3 linked regions of the Sus scrofa genome follow. The protein of the gene in region 2 purifies or fractionates together with the protein of the main gene of each other region. This does not show direct contact. Links are inferred from orthologs where the notes say so. Each region holds a gene or a part of one and is shown on either strand. Other genes may lie near its edges.

Region 1 (4,222 bases), on a different chromosome or scaffold from region 2:
AATTCATGAACAGAAAAGTAGTATTACCCTTGAAAAGAAAATACACTTACCAATGTATATTCATAGACAAGTCCTGCATGTCCCAAACAATCAGGATTTAGGTCATCAAGAGAATTTAGGGCTACCCCACCACAAGCAAGAGTCAGCCTGGAATATTCAAGTGTTTAAGGGAGATGCAGAGGTGACATTGTTAGTTACACTTAAAAAGATTAGTAACTTTTAAAAAGCAATCTTCTTCGAAATTATATACTAAAAGCGTATTTTTTTTTTTTTTTTTTTTAGGGCCACCTGTGGCATACAGAAGTTCCCAGGCCTACACCACAGCCACAGCAACACAGGATCCAATCCGCATTTTCGACCCATGCTGCAGCTTGCGGCAACACAGGATCCTTAAGCCACTGAGCAAGGCCAAGGATCTAACCCACACCCTCATGGACACTAGTCAGGTTTTCTTAAACCTCTGAGCCACAATAGGAAGTCCTATAAGCATATTTTAAAATATATTTTAGCTTATGCTTTTCCATTCACCAGGAACCAGTTAAAAACTGGTCTTTTCTCCTAACTCTCCATTTAACCATGTTACCCAAGTCAATTCAGAGGAGCAAATACTGCTTTGAATTCAAAGGTTCACAAGAGCTATCCACCATGGTAAGCTCTTTGGGAGAAAGTACTTCTCCAAAAATCCTTGATGCTGTCTCTGGACATGTGAAATTACGTACAGTACAGGTCATGATTTAAAAATGAGTAGAAGAGTTCCCATCATGGCTCAGCAGAAACATATCTGACTAGTATCCAAGAGGATGTGGGTTCAATCCCAGGCCTTGCTTAGTGGGTCGGGGATCTGGTGTTGCTGTGAGCTGTGGTGCAGGCTGGAAGCTGTAGCTCTGATTCGACCCCTAGCCTGGGAACTTCCACATGCTGAGGGTGCAGCCCTAAAAAACAAAACAAACAAAAAATGAAACAAAAAAACCACAAGTATATATCAACACTCATAGCAGCACTACTCACAACAGCCAAAAGGTAGAAGGACAAAATAAATGTCCATTGACAGATAAATGAATAAACAAAATAAAGAGATCCCGATACAGGCTACAACATAAATTTTGAAAAGATTATGCCAGGTGAAATAAGCCACGCAAAAGGATAAATACCTCATGATTCCCTTACACCATGTACCAAATTTAGAGAGACAGAAAATGGAATAGTATTTACTAGAGAGGGTATGCAGTTATTGAGTACAGACTTTCAGCTTACAAGGGAAAAAGTTCTTGAAATGAACAATGGTTGTACAACACTGTGAATGTGCTTCTGCTTTTCAGGGCCACAACTGTGGCTCAGGCATATGGAAGTTCCCAGGCTGGGGGTTGAATCAGAGCTGCAGCTCCACCTGCCAGCCTGTGCCACAGCCACACTGGATCCAAGCTCCATCTGTAACCTACATCACAGCTCACAGCAACACCAGATCCTTAACCCACTGAGCAGGGCCTGAGATCGAATGTGCATCCTCATGGATACTAGTTGGGTTGACTACTGCTAAGCCACAACAGGAACACCAACGCTGGATTCTTAACCTGCTGCAACACCAGGTAACTCCTGAATGTAATTTAATGACAAAGAATTGCACATTTTAAAACACAGGTAAGGAGTTCCTGTCATGACACAGCGGAAACGAATCTGAGTAGGGATCATGAAGTTGCGGGTTTGAACCCTGGCCCTGATCAGCGGGTTAAGGATCTGGCATTGCCATAAACTGTGGTGTAGGTCGAAGACGCGGCTCAGATCTGGCATGGCTGTGGCTGTGGTGTAGGCCGGCAGCTGTAGCTCCGATTCGACCCCTAGGCCTGGGAACTTCTATATGCCACAGGTGTGGCACTAAAAAGCAAAAAACAACAACAACACAAAAAACCCCACAGGTAAAATGACATATTTTATATTACGTACATTTCATTGCAATAAAAAAAAAAATCAGAAAACCACAAGAACAGGAGTTCTCCTGTGGCACAGTGGGCTAAGGATCCTGTGTCGTCACTGGAGTGGCTCAGGTTTGATCCCTCATCTGGGAACTTCCACATGCTACAGGAGTGTCAAAACAAAAACCAAACCAAACCAAACAAAAAACCCCACAAAAATATGAAGGGGGGAAAGCAATAATCCAAGTTAACTTGCAAAATAAGTGAAATTCAGGTCACAGATAACCTGCTGTCCGTACCTTTCCATGTTTCTCCTCTTAGCTCTACGTAGAGCTACTATGCCTTCTTTTGCAAGAGCATCTAAGGAAAAGGGGTCAATTCCCTATAAGAATAAAAGTAAGCTTCAATATAATTCACCTTAAAATAAAAGCAGACTAATTTATAAAGCAAAATTTCTCACCTTTTGATTAATAACAACAAATCCTTTATCTGAATCACCACATACTTTCTTCTTCAACTCTACTATTTTCTTAACTCTATCTTCAATGAATTTTCTTTCAGCTCTTACTAGTTTCTCTCTCTCTTCTGCACTCTTATAAAAAAAGCCAGAATTCACTTCTCTAAAAAAAGAAATTACAAAAATCAGAGGAAAGTATTTATTTTTTGAGTAGACAATAAGCCAGCAGCCTTAGAAACTGAGTCAGTCCTGAGCTTTAGCAAATAGTCACTGAGCTCCACACCCCCCCACCCCCCGTATGTTTTCAGAGGCTATTTCCCATACTTTTTTGACTGAGGCATTACTGTCCTACAGTGGGGAAACCGAGTCTCCCAAAAAAAGTGACTTGCCCCATATACCAAGCTCCTCCACCCTCCTTTCATCTTTAAGGAGCTATAAACTCACGTTTTTTCATATTCCAATGACACATTGCACGTGAGGATGTATGCATCTTCTACTCTCTTTTTCATGTCCGGATGCCGTGCCCCATGGTCCAAAACAAGACCCCTGATCAAGCTGTTCAAACACATACAAATTATATTCTTACTAATTTCCACATGGGGGAAACATACATTAGCAAAATTAAAACAGTGAACTGAGACTGTATTGGAAAATTTTTACACAATAAGCTTTATCTCTTAAGCTCTCTGAATAGGACTTTTGGGTAATACCCAGGGAGGTTCACTGTGAAAAGCAATATTCCAGAAGACACAACAAAAATAACCCATTCAAATGAAAGTAAAAACCCTGTCTTGGACAGAAAATTCTACAGAGAAATTGTCATAATTGGTAGGCTCCTAAACTGTGATCACCTCCCTTAAAGTCTTCAGGGTTCCCATCATGGCTCAGTGATTAATGAATCTGACTAGGAACCACAAGGTTGCAGGTTTGATCCCTGGCCTCACTCAGTGGGTTAAGGATCCGGCACTGCTGTGAGCTGTGGTGCAGGTTGAAGACGCAGCTCAGATCTGGCATTGCTGTGGCTCTGGCGTAGGCCGGCAGCTATAGCTCTGATGGGATCCCTAGCCTGGGAACCTCCATACGCCACAGGTGAGGCCCTAGAAAAGACAAAAAGACCAAAAAAAAAAAAAAAAAAAAAAAAAAAAAGTCTTCAAAGTAGGCCTTTAAAATAAATTTAAAAATTCCAAGTCTCTCATATGCTTTGCACAAACGTTCAACAAATGCCAAATGGCTGATGCAGCTGACTTTCCCCAGAATCATTCTGACTATAAATACACCACACCATGAACTTCATTTCAAGAAGAAATACTAAGTTAAATATTCATCTTTGGAGGTCCCATCTTGATTCAGCAGAAACCAATCTGACTAGCATCCATGAGGACACAGGTTCGATCCCTGGCATTGCTCACTGGGTTAAGGATCCAGCATTGCCATGAGCTGTCCAGTAAGTTGCAGGCGATGCTCGGATCTGGTGTTGCTGTAGCTGTGGTGTAGGCTGGCAGCTATAGCTCTAATGTGACCCCTAGCCTGAGAACCTCCATGTGCCACCGGTGAGGCCCTAAAAAGGCAAAAAAATCAAACAAACAAACAAACAAACTAGGCAAGAAAACAAACACAAACAGGCAAAAACACGTATTGTATAAGCTCCTTCAAGTCTGTAAACACACTCAAGCATTTCCTAGCATTCCACCACCTACCTTGTATCGGTTTCAGATTTATGTTTCATCTCCATGATCTCAACCATGAAGAGGTCAATAGGTTCATCTTGTTTTTTAATGGCCAAAACAGAGTCCACTACAGCCTACAATAGGAGTATAATCATTAATTCATAGAAGTCTTTTTCTGTGTGCTAACA
Region 2 (4,911 bases):
CCATCCCAAGAGCTCTTCACTTCCCAAGTGAACTGTATCTCCATCCACCCCACTGGCTTCGCAGTCCCACAAAATATACTTCAACTCCACCCATCTCTCTCTCTCCTGATGCCACCCCAGCCCAAGCCAGCATCGTTTCTCGCCTGGACTATGACAAACTGCGTCTTAACAGAGTCTCCACTCTTGACCACTCACAGTCCATCAGAATTCCCTGGTGGCCTGGTGGTTAAGGATCTGGCATTGCTACTGCAGTGGCACGGGTTCAATCCTGGGCTTGGGAACTTTCATGTGCAGCCAAAATAAATGAGTAAATAAACTTCAACTATCATTTCACTCTTTTATTTTTTATTTTTCTTTTTATGGCCACACCTGTGGCATATGGAAGTTCCCAGGCTAGGGCTCACATTGGAGCCACAGCTGCTCGCCTACACCACAGCCACAGCAACGCCAGATCTGAGCCACATTTTCGAATTATGCGTGCAGCTCATGGCAACGCCGGATCCTTTAACCCACTGAGCAAAGCCAGGGATGGCACCCACCTCCTCATGGATCCTAGTCTGGTTCTTAACCCACTGAGCCACAATGGGAACTCCCAACACTCTTCTCTTTTAAAACTCTCCCATGGCTTCCCAGAGGCACTCCGAAGGCCCCACCCACAAGATCTGGCATCAGGCATGGTGGCCTTCTTTCTGTTCCTTGAACACATGAAGTTCTTTCCCAGCTCTGGGTTCTCTGGGTTGTTGTAGCATCTCTGCCCCCTTCTTTTTTTTTTTTTTTGTCTTTTCTAGGGCCGCTCCCTCGGCATATGGAGGTTCCCAGGCTAGGGGTCGAATCAGAGCTGTAGCTGCCAGCCCACGCCACAGCCATAGCAATGCGGGATCCAAGCCGCATCTGCAACCTACACCACAGCTCACCGCAACGCCAAATCCTTAACCCACTGAGCAAGGCCAGGGATCGAACCCGCAACCTCATGGTTCCTAGTCGGATTTGTTAACCACTGCGCCACGACGGGAATTCCCACATCTCTGCCTCTTTGTGGAGCACTCTTTCTATACCTCTTCACATGCCGATCTTGTCATCCTTCAGGTCTTAGCTCAAATGTTTCCTTTTCAGAGAACTCCTCCCCAGCCACTTTATTTAAAGTGGTATCCTCTGGTTAATCTCTCCTCATTCTGTTTACTTCCTTCACGGTATATATATATATATATATATTTTTTTTTTTTAAAGCCCGCACCTGTGGCCTATGCAGGTTCCCAGGCTAGGGGTCGAATCGGAGCTACAGCTGCCGGCCATAACCACAGCCACAGCCATGCAGTATCCGAGCCGCATCTGTGACCTACATCACAGCTCTCGGCAATGCCAGATCCCTCACCCACTGAGCAAGGCCAGGGATTGAACCTGCAACCTCATGGTTCCTAGCTGGATTCATTCCCATTGCGGTATTTAACAAATACCCCTTCATGGTATTTGTTAAACTCAATAATGAACTTGACTGCTTATTGGGTAACATGTTTCCCACACAAGAAAGCAAACCAGTTCTTCATCTGTCTCGTTCATCACTTCACCCCAACACCAAACACAGTAGGTGGCATATTAGTGGTCATTCAATAAATATCTGAAAGTCAATTAAAAACTACGGAGAGAAATCCACTACTCCTTTATGGAAAACATATATTCCTAATGAAAGATAAGCCAAATATCACTTTAAATGACTTCGGAACTGACGGCCGAAAATGCTACCTGTGGAAACTCACGGTGAAAAAATACCCTGTTTGTGACAGGAAACATGTGGACTGTACTTTCTCCATCTACAGGCAGGACTTAAAAGTGCCCTGGCTGAGGAAGGGGCAGTTAGTCCCTACCCTTACCATTTCTGCGTATTCCAGCTGCTCCCCCTCACTGTACAGCTCTGGGGGCAGGTTATAAATCCGCAGGACGTTATCAGCACTATTGGTCAGGATGCAGGAACCATCAGGGGCCCTAGGAGTAGGAGAGAGAAGCCTGGATAGACCTGTATCTTGCGAGTGTTGGGCTTGAGCTGAGCAGACCTGTGGCAGAGGTGAGCCCCCTCCTCATCCTTACTTACCACTTACAGCCTTTCAAGAAGTTCTCAGGTTGGGTGCTGAACTCTGACCAGGAACCGCTAAGAAACCGGGGTAGCTGCGAGAAGCTGTAGTTCCAAGTGCTGGAAGGAAGATGGGGAAGACAAACCTGGGTCGCCAAAGCCAAGGAGAAATGGGCCTGGAGAAGTGGGGCTGAGGACTGGCGGATGAGATATATCTCACATTTCCAACCTCCTCAGATTCCTGAGCCAACTGCCATCAGCACTTACGTGTATCCCTCATCCTCTGGAGCGGGTTCCTCAGACACATCTTCCATGTCTTCTCCCGGCCCCAACTCTGGCTTGTTCGTTTCTTCTGCAGGAAGGCTCACTTTTTCAGAAAGTTCTTGCTCCTCGATTCGAGGGCTCAACTCACTAGGAGTATCAAACTCAGCTTCCAACGGAGTGGAGAGAGAAGCTGGGTCCCCTTCCCCCAGCTCCTGGGACACGGCCGAGCCAGCTCCAGGATCCGGGGATATCCGGGGCGCATCATCCCCATCGGGTGGCGGTGGCGTCTGTTCAGGGTTCGTATTTTTATCCATCGAGGAAGCCTGAGGAGAGAGACGGGCTGCAGCTGGGGCCTGGTCTGAAGGAAGGCAGTCCGGAGCTAACACTGGCGCCTCCGGGGTCTTCATACTGCAGAGGAAGCACGGCAAACATTGGCCGCGGCCAGGCAATCCTCTTCCCGCCGGCTACCAGCTGCCGGGCCTGCGGAACGGCAGAGACCGCCGTAAGTTCGCACGGATCCGGACGCAGAACTGGAGAAACCCAGCAGTGCCTTCTTTCTGCTCCCGGGATAGGACAGAAAACAGCCCCCCGCCCCCAGGCCTCGCGAGGCGAGGCGGGCGAACAGGAATGTTGGAGAGCTCGGCGATCCTTAGCCCTGTCGGTGGCTACGCGCCACCTGTTCTCGCGGGATTTGGGCCCACCATTCGATTGGACCTCCGCATCCCGGATCAGACTTCGCGGGCGACCCACAAGAGGGGCGGGGCAGGGACGTAACAGGTCACGGGTTACCGTTCCCCTCCAGTCCTGAATCTCCTAGTGCCTGCTGGGACTTGTAGTCCGAGAGCTTCTGAGTCAGGGAGATGTGTCTGAGCTCCTCGCGCTATCATTCTTCAAGCACCTACTCCCCTCCCCACCTGCAGAGGGCGCGAGCGCTATATTTGTTTTTACGGGGTTTGAACCTGTTTTGCATCTCAACTCCTCAGACCTCCGTCTCTTTTCATTCATTCAATAAATATTTATCATTGAGCTCTTCTTTGCTACCCAGTACTGTACTGGAAAAGACAAGAATGAATAAGATAGTAGGCAAGGTCTCTGCTCTCCTAACGCTTAGGTTGCTGTGTATTGAAGGCAAGGAACAAATTATTTCAAAACGTGATAGGGTCTAGGAAGGAAATTAAACAAGACAGTGTGATACAACGTAACTAGGAGAATACGTTAGCTTGGAACATTAAGGAAGGTCTTCCTAAAAATTGACATTTTAGCTAATGAGGAACTATCCAGCCATCTGGGAGAGCAGAGTTCCAGGCAAAAGGTGCAAAGGCTGTCTTTCTTTCACCTTCATGTCTGACTCGGGGACAAGTCTTTCAAAATGGTTTCCACCAATTCTGTTCTCACAGATCTGGGTTGTCGAATTTCTTCACCGCAAACTGTCAGTAGCTACAAAACCAACACAGCAGGAATCCTGACTCCCCTCACCCTCACCACCTCCGTCCGTCGCCACCGCCCGCAGGGTAATTGCTTGCCCTTACTTGTCATGGCGACTTTGTGCCAGGAGTCTCGCGATGGTTGCTGGGATTGGGATTTTCCCCTCCCATGTGCTCGGACTGGCGCTAAAAGTTTTGAGCTCCTCAAAAGTCCAGGGCCACCATCCTTGGCGCAGGTAGCTGCTGGTCTCCGGGGTCACCTGACGTCCCGTCTCGAGCGTGCATCCCAGGACAGTGACACGCTCTCCTGAGCTTCGGGTAAGCTCTTAACTGAGCCTGATGAATACTCTATGAGTCATGGGCTCTCGGGTCTGTGTATTTTCAGCTCAGAAGAAAGGAGGATGGAGGTGGAGCGAAAGATTTAGTGATTTGGGGGGGGGGGGGAAATGGAAGTTCTTCTAGCGGCATCAACAGAGGAATGCAATGTTGGGAGGCCTGAGTGTAGATGATAGGGATGTTAGGACCAACCGAACTAAAAAGCTGAACACCTGCGCCGGGTAGTGGGGCTTTGGGGAAAACTTGAGCCTGCCTAAGGGGTTCTTCCCCACCACCGCCACCACCCCATTTCAGTACCCGGTGTGGGGGAGCCCTTAATAAGACACACAAAGCATCAAGGTCCGAGGCTTTGGGATCTTGGAACTTTGGGGATTTATGGCTCGAGATTTTAGTGCGTATGGCATCCCAGTGGAACCCTGGACTCCATTCCGAAGTGGTTATCCGGAGTGCTCCGGGAAGTCCAAGGTGCTAACTTCCGGACCTTTGTCCTTTCTTGAGTGAACTTTCCAACTGGCCTTCAGCGCCTCAGGATGGAGAAAGTCCATTTAAAGGCTGTCAGTTGTGGAAATGGGACATGCTAAACAAGAGGTTTGCCCGCGAAGCCTCGGAGGAGTAACCCGGCCGGAGAGGCCCGGGAGCCCTGTTATTGTTTGGCTCTGCATTTACATTTCTGCCACTCGCAGGAGCATTTCCGGTTTCTTTTCTTCGGAACAGCCCACTATTCACCCGATGTGAGGGAAGTAGAAAGAGAAAAGGTCTTTTAAACTGGTTCCTATTGCTTGCTGCAAGGGGCTGTTAACCCCCTCTACCTTTTTTTTGTCC
Region 3 (4,222 bases), on a different chromosome or scaffold from region 2:
TGCCCTCTAAGCACTTTTTAGGGGTCAAGGGAGGAAGGGAAGCCAGTACTGACCGTCACGGTTGTCTCCAGAGTCTATGGTCCTGTCCACGTTTAGTTCTCTCTCCCTCTCTGTGAGGGCCTGGGTTCCCTCTCTCTGTGTCTGGGTGGCTTCCCCTGGAGCGCCTGTGTCCACCGCCACATCTGCTAGGTGCTCTCTTGAGACAAGGGGAAGGTCCTGCCCCACCTGTGCCCTGGCTGACACACTCTGGGCCCCGGCCCCAAGAGCTCGGTCCTGTTCAAGAATGGCTACAGCCCACTCCGTCCCAGCATCCCCTTCTGCCAGAAGCTGGCTCTTTCTGACGTCTGCCCCAGCTGAGGCTGCTAAGGACGTGTTCTTTTCCACATCTGGTTCATGGCCCCCAGCTGGAGGAGGGCGGGCTTCCGCTGGATGCACCACAGGCAGCTTTGCTGGGTCGCCTTCTGCCTCCACATCTGTTTGAGGTGTCCATGCCACAGGCACCTGATGCTTCTCTGAAAGTGTAACAGCTGGCCTTGGTGGGGCTTTCTCCTCCACTTGGGTGATGGCGTCCACAGTGGCAGAGGCTTGGCTTCTCCCTGGGTGGACTCCAGGTGAGCGCTCATCTTCCTCCACCTTCACGTCACTGCCCCTGAGAGGAGGCTGGCTCTTTTCTGGATGGGCCTTGTCTGCAGGACCCTTGGGGAGACTTCCTCTCTTTTCTAGGGGGAGCCCCTCTTCTTCCATGTCTGTGTCACTGTCTCTCCCAGCAGAGGCCTGGCTTTGATCCAGAAGGGCCACAGGTTGGGCCCTGTGGTCTCCTGCACCTGCATCTCTGTTCCATGGAACAGCCTGGCTCTCTCTCAGACGTGCCAGAGTGAGCGCCGCTGAGACTTCTTCCTCGTCATCCATGTTGCTGTCGATCATCATGGAGGCTCGGCTGCTGTCCAGAGGGACCGTCCGGGGGGCCTCTCCCTCCTCTATATCTGTATCACTACCAGCCGGGCTCTCCTGTGCATGTGCCACGCCAGGTGCCTGGGGGCTCTCTGTCCCAACTTCATGGAAGATCTGCCTCTTCTTCACGGGAACTACTGCTGGGGTGGCGGGGATCCCCTCTTCTTCCGCATCAGTATCACTGTCTATGAAGCCACAAGGCTGGGCCCTTTCTGAATGGGCTCCAGCTGGCCTCCGTGGAAGCCCACTCCCCTCATCCACATCTGTGTCACTGTCCTCCCCAGCAGGCTGGCTCCTCTCCAGAATCGCCCCAACTGGAACCACCCCATTGCTGGCAGCCCTCTTAACTCTTGCGTCCTTGTGCTTCTCCTTCACTGGACACTGGTCCTTTATGAGCTGGATTTCGGTTGTGACAGGTTTAGGCTGTTCTGTCTCTGCAGCTGAGGGAGCCTCTCCTGCTCCTGGTTGCTGACTTTCTTCCTCATCCGTGTCACTGTTCAAGTTGAAGGCAAAAGGTGGTCCAGGGCCATCTGGGGCGGGGGAAGGCCCCTCTTCATCACTGTGAAGGGAGGAGAAGAGAGAGAGTCTACAGAATCTATTTCTCCAGAAGGGAAACCCCACTCAACTGGGAGCTCCTCGAGAGCAGACATGAGGTAGTATTTGCTTTTCGTTTCTTTTTCTTTTTTTTCAGGTCATACCTGTAGCATATGGAAGTTCCTGGACTAAGGGTTGAATTGGAGCTGGAGCTGCCAGCCTATATTATAGCCACAGCAATGCTGGATCCTTAACCCATTGAGAGAGACCATGGATTGAACCCACATCCTCATGGACACTGTGTCAGGTTCTTAACCTGCTGAGCCACAATGGGAATTCCAGTATTTGCTTTTCTATCTCCAGCCATTCGTTTTCCACTTGGCACATCAGAGGTGATCAATAAAAATTCAGTTGAGTGAGAAGTTCCTTCTATGGCTCAGCAGGTTAAGAATCCAACTAGTATTCATGAGGATGTGGTTTTGATCCCCGCCCTTGATCAGTAGGTTAAGGATCCAGGGTTTCTGTGAGCTGTGGTATAGGTTGCAGACGTGGCTTGGATCCAGCATTGCTCCATATGCCACAGGTGCAACCCTAAAAAGAAACAAATAAAACTAAGTTGAATGAAAGAATATGAGGAGTTTCCCAGCCCTGACCTCCATGAGCTCTCTTGGATCCTCCAGCCCTTGGTTCCACCGTTTTTTTTTAAAGGGCTGCAGGTGCAACATGTGGAAATTCCTAGCCTAGGAGTTGAATCAGAGCTGCAGCTGCTGCCTACGCCACAGCCACGTGGATTCAAGCTGCATCTGCCACCTACACCACATCTTATGGCAACGCCAGATCCTTAACTCAGTGAGTGAGGCCAGGGATTGAACCAGCATCCTCATGGATCCTAGTTGGGTTCGTTTCCACTGAGCCACAGTGGGAACTCCTGTTCCTCCTCCTTTTGAGGACTCAGTTGTCTGGCCTCTGGCACTCACCTCTCTGGAATCACTGTTGTCAAAGAAGTCTTTGGTCCTTTCACCACACACCTTTCAGAAAGAGAATCTGTCAGGAGTAAAAAGGTTGATGATTTTACAGCCACCGTCCCCATCTCCTCACCTGCCCTCCCAATACTCGGACTTACCTACTTCCTCCTCTGAGTCCTCAGCCAACAGAAGCCTGTGCGGTTGAGTTCCTCCCTGTCCCCTGGGTGTCTCCTCTACAGTTAGAGGGCCCCGAGAGACCAAGGGCGGGGGGACATCCAAGCGATGGTACTGGCAGGGCAAGTCAGCAAAGAGAATCAACTCCCGGTTCCTCAAACGATGACTCACCCCAGGGCCCAGGACCTTGGGAGGCCTCAGGATCTGAGTGCCATTGAGGCTCCCACAGTCGCGGAGGACAGGCGCCTTGTTCCAGGCCAAGATTTCAATCACTGCATGTTGTTTGGAGATGGATGAAAAAGGCAGGGCCACAGAGCACTCGGGCATTCGGCCCACCACGTTCTTCCCAAGGTAGAGTGGGAAATCTAAGAATCAGAGAGGTAGAGAGGTTCCAAGGCCAGAGCCCTGACCTGCTATTAGGAAAACGTTCCTGTTAAGTCCCCCACTGCTCACTCAAGGCCCCCAAGTACATTAGGAAAACAAAAGATACCTAAGATAATTAGGTAATAAGGAATACATGCAATGCCTTATTTGTACTCAACACCTCATCCATCTATACTGATTTTTTTTTTTTTTCCTTTTTCTTTAATGGCCGCATCTGGGGTATATGGAAGTTCCCGGGCCAGGGACTGAATTCCAGCCGCAGCTGCAACCTATGCCACTGGTGTGGCAATGCTGGATCCTTTAACCTAATGTGCCATGGCCAGTGATCAAACCCGCCTCTCTGCAGTGACGCCAAACCACGACAGTCAGGATCTTTTTTTTTTTTTTTTTAAGGATCGCACCCACGGCATATGGAGGTTCCCAAGCTAGGGGTCAAATCGGAACTACAGCTGCCGGCCACAGCCATGCAGAACCCAAGCGGTGTCTGGACCTACACCACAGCTCACAGCAACATCGGAACCCTAATCCACTGAGCAAGGGCAGGGATCGAACCCGCAACCTCATGGTTCCTAGTCGGATTCGTTAACCACTGCACCACAATGGGAACTCCTCCTGGCTTATTTTTTATTGTGGTAAAATATACATAAAATTTGCCATTTAGCCATTTTTAAGTGTACAGTTTAGTGACATTAAGTATATTCACACTGTTGTGCAAAACCTCGTCACTATCCATTTCAAGACTCACCGGGTTTTCACTTAAACCCCTTTATCTTCTCCCACCAAAGTAAAATCACCCCCATGGAGTCCAGGGCACTTGCCGAGAGCAATCAATTCAATCAATCCTTCCTTCTCCATTCCCAGTAAAACATTTTTTCAGATCTTGACACATATAGAAGCTTGCAACCCTCCACCTCCCTCCCCACAGAAGAGGCCACTATCAGTACTTTAGCACCGAATACCTTTTTCTGGTCCATAGGAACTACTGAAGATACGCAGTTGCCCTACGGGCTGCAAGTTACACCCCAAAGGTTCACTGGGTCCCTCTTCAACCTCCTCTTCTTCAGCCTCCCAGTTAATAACCTGGGTGTCCTCCATGATCTGAGGAAAAAACACATTATTATCACCTCTGTCAATCAATGGTTCACACATGCAGCCTCAGAGAGAAGATTGCTAACTGGGATAAACCTGGAAGTTATGGATGCTGATGCTTCCCT

Evidence for each region. Proteins that work in one complex are often made in the same cells at the same time.
Region 1: the proteins of WRAP53 (region 2) and CCT6A purify together in Homo sapiens (co-immunoprecipitation; 3 studies listed by BioGRID and IntAct, with this or other methods). This does not show direct contact. The link is inferred for Sus scrofa from reciprocal best matches to the Homo sapiens genes WRAP53 and CCT6A.
Region 3: the proteins of WRAP53 (region 2) and MDC1 purify together in Homo sapiens (affinity purification with western blotting, with the first as the bait; 3 studies listed by BioGRID). This does not show direct contact. The link is inferred for Sus scrofa from reciprocal best matches to the Homo sapiens genes WRAP53 and MDC1.

The regions. Positions count from the first base shown.
Region 1 is NC_010445.4:16,848,650-16,852,871, forward strand, and holds part of CCT6A (T-complex protein 1 subunit zeta), read right to left. Parts: intron 4,169-4,222; coding exon 4,065-4,168; intron 2,923-4,064; coding exon 2,812-2,922; intron 2,531-2,811; coding exon 2,371-2,530; intron 2,293-2,370; coding exon 2,210-2,292; intron 148-2,209; coding exon 51-147; intron 1-50. UniProt on the Homo sapiens protein: Component of the chaperonin-containing T-complex (TRiC), a molecular chaperone complex that assists the folding of actin, tubulin and other proteins upon ATP hydrolysis.
Region 2 is NC_010454.4:52,952,835-52,957,745, reverse strand, and holds the start of WRAP53 (telomerase Cajal body protein 1), read right to left. Parts: upstream 3,073-4,911; 5' UTR 2,737-3,072; coding exon 2,333-2,736; intron 2,186-2,332; coding exon 2,087-2,185; intron 1,981-2,086; coding exon 1,869-1,980; intron 1-1,868. UniProt on the Homo sapiens protein: RNA chaperone that plays a key role in telomere maintenance and RNA localization to Cajal bodies. Specifically recognizes and binds the Cajal body box (CAB box) present in both small Cajal body RNAs (scaRNAs) and telomerase RNA template component (TERC).
Region 3 is NC_010449.5:23,239,392-23,243,613, forward strand, and holds part of MDC1 (mediator of DNA damage checkpoint protein 1), read right to left. Parts: intron 4,107-4,222; coding exon 3,968-4,106; intron 3,030-3,967; exon of another isoform or gene 2,990-3,029; coding exon 2,609-2,989; intron 2,530-2,608; coding exon 2,463-2,529; intron 1,511-2,462; coding exon 54-1,510; intron 1-53. UniProt on the Homo sapiens protein: Histone reader protein required for checkpoint-mediated cell cycle arrest in response to DNA damage within both the S phase and G2/M phases of the cell cycle.